3 linked regions of the Canis lupus familiaris genome follow. The protein of the gene in region 3 purifies or fractionates together with the protein of the main gene of each other region. This does not show direct contact. Links are inferred from orthologs where the notes say so. Each region holds a gene or a part of one and is shown on either strand. Other genes may lie near its edges.

Region 1 (3,645 bases), on a different chromosome or scaffold from region 3:
TTCGCCTCCACAAAGCTTGTCATGCCACACTGTGCCCGGTGAGCCCTCAAAGAAAGCCGAAGATAGAAACTGGCCCATCTTGGACCAGAGCGGTCCCAGACTCAGGGAGAGTTGCCGGGGTCTCACTGAGACTCACCTTCCTCAGTGATTCAGAACAGGAAGTGACAGAGGGGGCAGCAGCATTATGACAGCAACACCTGCCAGCTCCCCTCCCTGTGCTGATAGGCTGGCACCCCTGAGGGTCCCCAGGCTGGATTTCCATGTTCCCCAACTATGCTACCTTGCTGGCAGGGCCATTCCCTCTTTTCTATCCTCTTTTATCCCAGATAACTCAGTTGGAAAAGTCTTCAAAAACTGTAATCTCATGAAAAAAACTCCTCTCCACCAAACAGAAACTTGCTTTGGCTCAGAAGATTTGTTAAGATGTCAGAGTGTGGTGGGATAAATACCCCCCATCATCACACTCTAAGCACACAGGAACTCCACTTATAGAGTTAATTGTTACTTGATGTTATTCTAATTTGGGACAAGATTTTCAACATTTTTCTCCATAGTTCCACAAAGAAGCCTCTTCCCATCCCATCGACAGCATTCTCCCTCTTTCCTTATAAAGACAGGCACCTGGAACCCTTCTGAAAATATACATTTCCATGTCCACAAGAGCAGATAAACCTATTTCTCACCAGGCCACTGCTTCCACGTTATCTTGTCTCGTCAGGGGTCACTGAAGCATTGGCAAAAGAGATTAGCATTCACTTTAAATATTAAAATTCTAGATGGTTTATAAGGCAAACTCTAACTGCCCAGGACTGAAGATCTAAGTTAACCGGACTCTGAAAGTAAGATAGAATGAAGAGCAATTTGTTTTTAATCTCCAATAAAGCAAAGTTGTGTGAAAATTCTAAACATGCATAAGGCAGTTAGTTTCATAACCTGCAGACTGACACGCTTTATCAATAAACTCCAAGGTCAGTACCTCGTCGACTTCCTTAATGGAACTGAGGTCCAGCTCGGGTTCTGGCTTCCGGCTGCCCAAAGAAGCTGAAAGAGCCTCCAGTGCTTGATCACTCATTGCGTCCTGCTAAAAAGGAAAAACTCTGTACATTAACAAAGACAACATCTCCTCAGCCTGCACAATCCATCCACTTCTCTGTGAAATCCTAATTTCAAATTTGTCAGAGGAGTCGTGGATTAGAGGACTTTGAGAAGGCAGTGCTACTTGAAACCTAAGAAAAGAGAGAAAGGAAAAAGAACTTACCAGTGAAAAATACTGGGGCTAAGATACTTCCACAGTGTCTTACACAGTTTCTACCCTCAGGGGCACACTTCACCCCTTATTTATCAAGCTATAATATTATTATAAAATACTTGCATAGAAATAAAAGCTCCAAGAAGTAAACTTTCACTTTCCTGTTTTTTTTTTAATGTGTCTCTAAAAATAATTTCTGACAACCCTGTCCCTTAGCAAACTAGCTAAGCCCAGGAAGCCGGGAAACCCAGAGTGGCCCCTTGCAGCCTTCTTTTCTGAAGGCACAATGGCCAATAGCTGTAGGAACTCCCACTCTTGGGGTGTGGTGCTCTCACCGCTCCCCAGCCTGCCAGATAAAAATAAACTGTCCCCTCCAGGAAGGGAGAGGCAGAGCAGATCCAACAGACATGCTCCTTGCACTATCTGGACTGTCTGCAGATGGAGCACGTTTTCTCATCCAGCCTTGAGCCGCTGGATCACCTTTCAAGATTTGTGACAATTATGTGACTGTGGTCAGGAGAAGTGACCTGAAACAGCTAGGCCAACATTCCACTAGTGATTGATTCACAGGTCAAACTCCATTAAAAAAAAATCACGGTGAAGATGTTATGTTCCAAAGGTACAATTTTTTTTGGTGTCTTGTCTTTCTGTATATTTTAGTGGTGAGATACTCTTGTTTCACAATGAAGAAAACTGTTCTGAAATCATGAACAGCATTCGTAGAAACACAGAAGGCTTGCCTGGAGATAATCAATAGAACCCTGATTGGATTCACTAATCTACACAGACCCGAGGGAAAAAAGATGCTCCACATCAGGAATAACGCTCTATTGTGATTATCCTGAATCAGCTGGATCAGGCTCAGGAAAGTAACTGCTGTCAGGAGAAGGACCGTGGTTATTTTCAAAGAAGTAATTATTTATACCTCCTCCACCTTTCTTTTTTTCTCTTGGGGTGAAGCAGCACTTTTGGTTACCCTGGCTGGCTGGGCTTTTAAAATCTCTTCTCCTGTAGATTTCTGAAAGGCAAAACACAAAAGATCAGACTTAAAGATGAAAGAAGGGCAATTACAATAACCAGAACTAAAAAGAAGTTGTTTTAAAGTCTGATACGGTTTCTAACAAGCACTGCAATTATGTTTAAAATAATACCTCTTCCTTAGTTTTCTTTCCAGCATCGGTAGGTGAACTGCAGGTGAAGTCAGATGACAAAGCATCTATGGCATCATTGGGCCCCATGGGTTTCTAAAGAAACAGGGACACGATGGGGCATATATGAGAGTCATTCAAGTTAAGGATCACAATATAAACTCAGCAAAGGAAGAATAATCTGACATTCCTTTACTACCAAATAAAATACCTTATCAACTAACTCAGATGAAAGCCTACATTTGGAAGGGAATGGGTGCTCACTAATCCTATTTGCCTGTTTCCCTCTTTTAAATGGATCACGTGTTAGGATATTCTCATTCTATTAACATTTATTTTACTGCAAAACTTTCTTGGCTCCATTCTTCTTCCTCTAAAAAAAAACAAAAAAAACAAAAAAACAAAACAAAACAAAAAAAACTACGTATGAATCCATGAGCACTGAAACAACCCCCACGTCATCCCCGGCCTCTGAACAGATGGAAACTTAATCTGATTTAGAGATTAGCCATAGACATAATATAGAGAATTGATGACATATCCCCCAACTAAAGATTTTTTTTTAAAGACTTATTTATTTGAGAGAGAGAGCAAGGGGAAGTGAGTGTGAGGGGGGCAGAAGCAGAGGGAGAAAGAAAGTGAATCTCAAGCAGACTCCCTGCTGAGCACAGAGCCTGACCTGGGGCTCAGTCTCATGACACATGAGAACATGACTTGGGCCGAAACCAAGAGTTGGACACTGAACTGAGCCACTCAGGTGCCTCCCACAACTAAAGATTTAAAAACAGGTTAACCTGGATCTCAGAAGAACATTTATGTAAACTCACCGAAGAGTCTGGAGGAGGCACTGTGATACCTTCTTTTTTCTGAAACAAATATTAATTTGGTCATGTTGAGCGACCAAAAGTAATTTTTACAACAGGCAAAATGTAAGGCTCAGTGAGTGTTATGAATTGTGTTTTCCCAAAAGTCATATTGTTGAATTCCTTTACCCCTAGTACTCCAGCATGTGACTACATTTGGACAATGGGCCTTTAAAGAGATAATTAAGGTTAAATGAGGACATTAGGATAGGTGGTGGTCCCATATGCCTCCTGTTCTTATAGAAGTGGGGAAACATGGACTAGGAGATGCACAAAGAGGGAAGATGGCCATGTACATACCAAGGAGGGAGGCCTCAGATCCTTCCCTCACACCCACGCTGCCCACACCCATTCCAGTCTTCCAGCCTCCAAGACTGTAGGACAA
Region 2 (3,745 bases), on a different chromosome or scaffold from region 3:
TCCCAGTTATTAAATGTCAGAGCCAGGGTTCAGACTCAAGCTAAGTCAGCCTCCAGGGGAGAGTCGAAGGGGGCCAGACTTTCCAGAAGGCCTGGGAGCCAGATTAGCTCCCTCTGAGGAGCCCTGAAGTTTGGAGGCCGGAGCTCCCCAGAGGGGCTTCCGCTGCCGCCCTTTGCCCTGCCAGCTTCTGCATTCCCCACCCCCTACTTCTCCGCCCGATCTTGGGGACATCTAGCTTCAGAAACCAGGCCAGAGAGACTGACTGTTCGGGTGCCCAGGCCCCTCTTTAGAGATGGGAAGGAGGAGGCGACACTTGGCGCCGCTGACTCGGGGTAAAAGGATGCGGGGGGAGGAGGCACAGGCAACTTTTGTAGGCGGGGAAGTCCTTCCTGCAGTCTGACCGCCACCTGGTTGCTGCAGGGCCCCGGGAAAGCTAGTCCAGCCTTAGCCCCTTGCCCCAAATGCGGGCGCCGGTCCCCGGGCTGTGGGCCGAGCATCCGGGTCTCCAAATGCTTTGTGGCGACAGGACTAGGATCCGGGGCGCGGGCCCGAAGTCCCCTTCCCAGCGGACCGAAAACGGCACCGCGGGGCGCACGGGGGCTCGCTGTGGGGCCAGAATTCACACTGCAACACTAGGGGGGGATCCCGGGCACGGCGACCGCACTGCCCTCAAGGACCGGGAAGACCTCGGATCTCGGAGCGCAGGGCGGGGTCCGCACCCACAGCTCAGGAAACGCGCGGGGCGGAGCCGCGGCGGCCGCTCGGGGTCACGGGAGGCGGGCCCGGCGCGCGCAGGCGCAGCTCAGGCCGGCTCTAGGACCGCGCGGAGGCCGGTCGGGCCGCCCGCAGAGCCCAGCCCCGCCCGCAGCCTGAGTCACCCGCCCCGCCCTGCGGAGCCGGACGCGGCCGGAGGCCCGGGAGCAGCGCGGACGAACGGATCCACGGACGAGTGAGCGAGGCGGTGAGCGCCCGATCTGGATTAGCCCTGTACTCCGTAACCCCGGTCCTTGCGGCCCCCATATCCAACACCCTTAAGCCCTGGTCTCAGGGGTCCCCCCCCCCGACCCATGATCTCAGACTGGAAGCCCCAGTTATGTCCGGCACCAGGTTATCCCCCCCTCCCCCGCCGGGGACTCTTCCACCCTCTGCCTCAGGATCTAAAGTTCGAGCCCGTGGATTTGAGAGGTACTCCTACAAATTATGCTCAGGGTAGGGTCCCCAGAACCACGATCCTTAGATCCGTTCTCCCAATTCTAATGGGCACCCCGTTATCCCAGGCCCCGGGATTCACACCCACAGTCTTAGACCCGAGCCCGCAGAATCAGCGGCGACATTGTAACCCGCTGCTGGGAGTATCGAAACCCTCAAGCTCACATTTCTGGGTTTCCTGAACCCTGCCCCAGAGCCTTCCAAGTGGAGAATCTCTGATCGGCGCCCCTGACCCGCCCAAGACCCCGAAACCCAGCTCTGGGGCTCGATCTGACTCGAGTACCTAGACATGTCAAAGATGTCTTGCACCAGCTTGGGGCCCCCACCTGGAGAAGCCCCCAGACCTGGACCCTTACCCTGGATGATGCCTATGCACTATGGACTCAGTCCAGGGGCCCTCAAGCCAGAAGGAGATCCTTTGGACCCAGAGGGGATTTCAAACCCGATCCTCAGTCCCTGTCCCACCCATCCGAAAACTACCCTCCCCCAGAACCCCAGACCCCATCCCAAATGCACCGTCAAGCCCGAGCCGGAGCATAAGTCCCTGCCCTGAGGCCTCATGTTACTCCCCAAGTCCGGCTGCCAGAAATGCGTATTTTTGTGTGGAAGGAGCGGGCTCCGTGGCGATGCGGCCCCTTGACCCCCCCTTTCCCCCCCCAGGAATTTTAAATCGCAGCCATGTTCCTGGTTAACTCGTTCTTGAAAGGAGGCGGCGGCGGCGGGGGAGGCGGGGGCCTGGGCGGGGGCCTGGGGAATGTGATCGGAGGCCTGATCAGCGGAGCCGGCGGCGGCGGCGGCGGCGGAGGAGGCGGCGGCGGCGGCGGCGGCGGCGGCGGGGGCGGAACGGCCATGCGCATCCTGGGCGGGGTCATTAGTGCCATCAGGTAAGGCGGGGCCTGAGGGGCGGGGCCCGGCGGAGGAGCATGTCCCGCCTGAGTAGATGGAGGTAACCTGGGGCCTGACCTGCAGTCTTCGAGGCTGGGCCACCCGCCTGGAGGGCGCGGGCCGTAGCGGGGCCGCTGGCAGTTCAGGAGGCGGCGCTTGACGTGGGCGGAGTCTGACGGCTGAGGGGCGATCTGCCGGGCGCTGCTCGGGGAGGTGGGGCTTGGGGGGGCGCGGCCTGCCTCCCGGCGGCCGGGAGACGAACGTTAGGGGGGCGGAGCCGCTGAGCCCGGCCGTCTCTTCCCGGGGCCAGGCCTGCCTTGCGGGCGCGGCGTGGCCGTGGTCTCGGGTCAGTGAGGCGCTGGACCCAGCAGAGGCCGAGGCCGAATGGGATGCGGGAGATGATCCTGAAGGAGGTGGATCTGGCTAGAAGTACGACCTGGTCGAGGTGGAGCGGGTTGTCACCAGGGGCCTCATTAACCGTGGCCCCCCTCGAAGGGGTGGGGACTCCTGGAGCTGGTGGGATGTTGGGAAACACGGGTGTTCAGGAAGCCACAGGACGGAGCAGGTTCCTAGACAGAAGGGGCCTGAGGAGGATGGAGCCCCAGGAAGCTGGGTCAGAGCTTCTATGAAGTGATCTGTTGAGGAATCTGTCACTGGGCAGGTGTGCCCTGGCCTGGCCCTGGCCTACCGTAGGGCGGGCCTCTGAGTTTCCTGCCAGGTGCAACCAGGGCAGCAAAGAGGGACCGTTAAGGCGAGCAGAAGGAGCCGGTGGGGAGGGTGGTGGGCTGGAGTTTGAGGGGTTGGGCACCGTCTTTGGAGGCTCCGCACACTGGCGCTAACTCCCTAACTCTCTCCCCTCAGTGAGGCAGCTGCGCAGTACAACCCAGAGCCTCCGGTAAGCCACCCTCTATAATCGGAGACCCTGCTTCTCACTCCCAGGCTTTTTTCCACACCCATCATTGTCCCTTTGTCCCCCTTATGAAATTCCACTCATTAAATCTCTCCCTTGCCAAGGTCCCCAAACTTAGCTATAGCCACTCCCTGCTTTCTGACCATCTCTCATTTCTTTGATCACCCAGCCACTCAGCCCATTCCGACTTTCCCACCAAGGGCTGTCCTGACCCGGGCACCCCTCCACCACTTGCTCTGAGATCTTTTCCCTCTGCAGCCTCCACGCACCCATTACTCCAACATTGAAGCCAATGAGAGCGAGGAGGTCCGGCAGTTCCGGAGGCTCTTTGCTCAGCTGGCTGGAGATGTAAGTAACCCTGGGCCCCTATCTTTGTCCTAAGTCTTCCACATCTTCCTTTGGGCTGCCCTTGCACACACCCCCAAAAATGGCAATCCCCAAAGAATCCCCATTCTCCTTCATGACATTCTTCCCTTGTGACCATCCCTGACTTTTCCCCACAGGACATGGAAGTCAGTGCCACAGAACTCATGAACATTCTCAACAAGGTCGTAACCAGACGTGAGTTGTTGGGCTCAACACATAGGACAGGTTTTGAGTCATGGGTTGCTGGGGTAGTTGTGACCTCTGGCCTTCTGACTTTCAATCTGTCCCCCACAGATCCTGATCTGAAAACTGATGGTTTTGGCATTGACACATGTCGCAGCATGGTGGCCGTGATGGATGTATCCTTGGGGGCAA
Region 3 (3,645 bases):
AGACCCTACTTTCCTCCTGCCCAGGGCTTTGTAGCCTGAGGGAGGGCGCATCTCAGCTCAGTGACGGGAGTGAGGCCTTGGGCAAGTTCCTTAACCTCCCTGAACTTGAGTTTCTCACTGAAGGGGGAGATGGTGACAGCACCCTGACAGGGCCGTTGTAGAAGAAACAGAGTGACCAAGTAAAGAGCTCAGCACAGACCTAGAATAGAGAAGAGCTCAGGAACCCCGCACTACCACTATCTCTAAGTCCTTTGCAAACTATAAAGTCCTGGGCAGATGAGGGATTGGGATTACTTTTATGGTTCCTGCCAGGAGGGGCTCTGCCCTGCCAGCCAGAGCCCAGGAGCCAGGACACCCAGGTCCCCAGGATATAACCAGGATGAGGCAGAGGAGGAAGGCACAGGGGTGGCACGCACCTCATCAGGGAGATTGGCCTGGATCTGGTCGTCCAGCTCCCTGCAGGGGGGGGGGAGACAGAGGGGCCAGTCAGGGGGGTGTGCAGGGGGACCTGTGGCAGGTGGCAAGTGGACGCTGGGGAGGGGCCTTCTACTCACTCCGTCCCGGCGCTCTTCTCCGAGAAGAAGCGCAGCACAAAGTCACCCTCCTTGTTGGGCTCAAAGGTGGAGGGGACCACCACGTACTCCCCAGGTGGCAAGCGGAAGCGGGTGCTGACCTCCCGCAGGTTGATGAACTGCTCCGAACGTGCCCGGGACGAATTAGCCAGGAAGAAGTCGCGCTTCAGGTGCACGGCGGGCTGGCCCACCAGCTGGTGGGAGGCAAGGAGGGAGTGGGGGCTGCAGCTGGCCACTCAGCCACCCTCAGGAGCTGCCCCACAGCCCCAGATCTCAGGCTCCAGGCCCTAGCCATGGGGGCGGAGAGCTGGTCATGGTGGTCACCCGCAGTCCGTATGACCCTGACAAATCATTCTGTCTCAGTTTCCCCGTCAGGTGAAGTGAAGGTGACAACCCTACCTCCTGCATGGGGCAGAGGTGAGGAGATAATATGGAGGCAGACATAGATACCTTATAGATATAGATGTCTATAGATATAGACACCATTGCAGTAACTTTCCCATTATTATCACTCACAGCTTCCCCAAGTCAGGCAGTGCAGGGTACCTTCCAGGGGGCCCCTCCTTTAAAGCTCATGACAGCCCTGTGAGCCGTTGCTGTCATGCCCATTTTACAGACACTGACAAAGAGGCTTAGTGCTTTAGCAGCTTGCTCAAGGGTATCCACTGCTCTGCTCCTAACCAGCACCCCTGGCAGCTGCAGCCAGCACTTACTCCGTGGGAACGGCAAGACAGGAAGAGCCTCAGATGTGGTGGGAGGCGGGGTTCCAAGGGCCAGGGTTCAAATCCGGCCCCCTCACTCATTACCAGCCCTGGCTCCCAGGACAGTAATGTTTGCCCCCACCCTGCCCTGGATTGGGGGAGGAGGGCAGTTAATAAACAGTAAAACGAGATGACTTCTTAATTCTCTACGTGTGGACTTGCTGCCAACTTGCTCCCCTCTGGGCACCGTCAGGCCTTGTGTGTTCAGGGATACGTAAATCCAGGTGATCCAGGTTTCAAACCTACCTCCGGAGGGACCTGCCAGAGAGATGGAGGAATTTAGAGATGTATGCCTGGCCCAGAGACAGGGGTACAGCGTATGCTGGGCAGAAGCCCCGAGTTCTTAAGAATGATGGGATGAGGGGCAACTGGGTGGCTCAGTCAGGTAAGCGGCTGCCTTGACTCAGGTCATGATCCCAGGGTCCTGGGATCAAGCCCTGCATCAGGCTCTCTGCTTAATGGACAGCCTGCTTCTCCCTCTCCACTGTTAGTTCTCTCTTACACATTCTTTCTCTCTCAAATAAATAAATAAAATCTTAAAAAAAAAATGATAGGATGAAGAAACCAGAAGGCAGGGCCCAGGGCCATTGGTGACTGAGAACCATCTTCATGCCAGAGAGGGGCCTCAGGACCTTAGGAAAGGGGGCCCAAGCAGGGTCCTCCCTCATCCTCGGAACGCCCTGGGCCTTGGCTCTGAATCAGAGCACCCAGGACAGCCCCCAGAGTGGCCAACTGCAATATTCCACAGTCCAGGGACATCAGAGGTCCACACCGGTCTGCAGCCAGGAGCTCTGGGCCAAGACTGTGGCCATTCTCTACCCCCACCAGGAAGGGCCAGAAATGTCTGTCTTGAACACAGTGAGTGAAGCAAGGCCCTCATAGGCCAGCTTTTGCTTACATACTCCTAAGATAGGGAGCTCACTACTCCTCTATGGCAGCCCACTTGCCTACTTCTTTCTGAAGCTGAGCCAAAGTCTGTCCCCTAGAGGCTACCTCCTAGGTGTCAACAAAGCCAGATTCCCTCTATCCAAGAGCAACCTCAGCAGGTGCCTCCAGGGGTTAGGGTCTAGGGCCACCTGTCTCAGGGCTGTGGCGGCGTTGTCCTCCGGCGCCCCCTGCTGGGGCTCGCCTACAGTGCACCAGGAGGCCTGCCTTCCCTGCCAGTTCTGTGAGATCCACTGGCTCACCTCGTAGACCGCGAAGCCAATGGTCTCCATGTCGCGGCCAAAGCGGCGTTCGCGGCGGCGGTGCTTCTGCATGAGGGCTAGCACGAAGCTGCAGCCTGATTCGCGACCCCCGTAGTCGTCGTCCACATCATCTGTCTCCTCCAGCCGGATCTTGAACTGGGGATTGACCCAGAAGGTGGCTGTAGGAGGTGGGTTGTTGGCAGGAATGAGGAGGAGCAGCGCAGAGTGGAGGCTTCCCCTCCCTACTGTGTCTGCTCATCCATTCATCCAACAAATATTGCTAATTGTCCACTGTGTGCCATGTGACAGATGTTCAGTGGGAACGCACAATCTCTACCCTCCTGAGCTCACTCTCTGGGAGGGGAGGCAAAGTATTTGCAAGTCAGTGTAATTAACAGAACTATTACAAAGAATAAGCAACCTGGAACTGATCTGGGGAGGCATCTTTGAGGAGGTGACATTTGAGGGAGATCTGAAGAAGCCCTGGGAAGACACTGGGAAGCAGGAGAAGGAGAATAAAGAGCCCCACACCTGAGGGGACAGCCAGTGTCTGATGCAGCATCTGGCTCTGGCGGGCATCAGGAGTCCAGAAAGGAAGCAAAGGAGTGGGAGCAGGGTGGGTGGAAAGGAGTGTGGTTTGAGTCAGAGAGCAAAAAGACCTCCCCACCCCTCCCACCTCACTCCCTTATCCCCCACGGGCCTGCACCAGGAGGGGCATGAATGGATTTGGATTTGCAAAGGTTGCTTATTGTCCAAACTGCTGTGTGGACAATGACTGAGGAAAGAAAGAGAAAAAGCAGGGTCTAACAGGAGCCTCATAACTGCAAAGAGTGACAGAGACTTGCTTTTCTGGCAGTTTGGTGATTGAGTTGCCCATGACTCCCTAAACCTCCAGGAGCTGGATTCAATACACAAAATTGCTTTGTAGAGATACTACTAAGCCATTGCATTTCCCTCCCCCATACACAGGTGACATTAAACAAAATGATAGATAATATCAAGTGTGAGAAATGGTAGAAATAACCCAACTGTCCAACTGAGGAATGGATAAAAAGAAATGTGATGTAACCAAACAATGGAAGATTATTCAGCAACAAAAAGGAATGGAGTACTGATATGTACTAT

The links.
Region 1: the proteins of CAPN1 (region 3) and CAST purify together in Homo sapiens (co-immunoprecipitation; 4 studies listed by BioGRID and IntAct, counting the BioPlex papers as one, with this or other methods). This does not show direct contact. The link is inferred for Canis lupus familiaris from reciprocal best matches to the Homo sapiens genes CAPN1 and CAST.
Region 2: the proteins of CAPN1 (region 3) and CAPNS1 purify together in Homo sapiens (co-immunoprecipitation; 4 studies listed by BioGRID and IntAct, counting the BioPlex papers as one, with this or other methods). This does not show direct contact. The link is inferred for Canis lupus familiaris from reciprocal best matches to the Homo sapiens genes CAPN1 and CAPNS1.

What each region holds. Positions count from the first base shown.
Region 1 is NC_049224.1:12,993,850-12,997,494, forward strand, and holds part of CAST (calpastatin), read right to left. Parts: intron 3,264-3,645; coding exon 3,225-3,263; intron 2,494-3,224; coding exon 2,401-2,493; intron 2,268-2,400; coding exon 2,175-2,267; intron 1,082-2,174; coding exon 977-1,081; intron 1-976.
Region 2 is NC_049222.1:117,400,072-117,403,816, reverse strand, and holds the start of CAPNS1 (calpain small subunit 1), read left to right. Parts: upstream 1-889; 5' UTR 890-961; intron 962-1,869; 5' UTR 1,870-1,887; coding exon 1,888-2,093; intron 2,094-2,111; exon of another isoform or gene 2,112-2,132; coding exon of another isoform or gene 2,133-2,155; intron 2,156-2,172; exon of another isoform or gene 2,173-2,307; intron 2,308-2,442; exon of another isoform or gene 2,443-2,523; intron 2,524-2,955; coding exon 2,956-2,989; intron 2,990-3,262; coding exon 3,263-3,352; intron 3,353-3,507; coding exon 3,508-3,565; intron 3,566-3,664; coding exon 3,665-3,729; intron 3,730-3,745. UniProt on the Homo sapiens protein: Regulatory subunit of the calcium-regulated non-lysosomal thiol-protease which catalyzes limited proteolysis of substrates involved in cytoskeletal remodeling and signal transduction. Essential for embryonic development.
Region 3 is NC_049239.1:52,493,576-52,497,220, forward strand, and holds part of CAPN1 (calpain-1 catalytic subunit), read right to left. Parts: intron 2,700-3,645; coding exon 2,521-2,699; intron 1,592-2,520; coding exon 1,580-1,591; intron 767-1,579; coding exon 555-766; intron 457-554; coding exon 417-456; intron 1-416. UniProt on the Homo sapiens protein: Calcium-regulated non-lysosomal thiol-protease which catalyzes limited proteolysis of substrates involved in cytoskeletal remodeling and signal transduction. Proteolytically cleaves CTBP1 at 'Asn-375', 'Gly-387' and 'His-409'.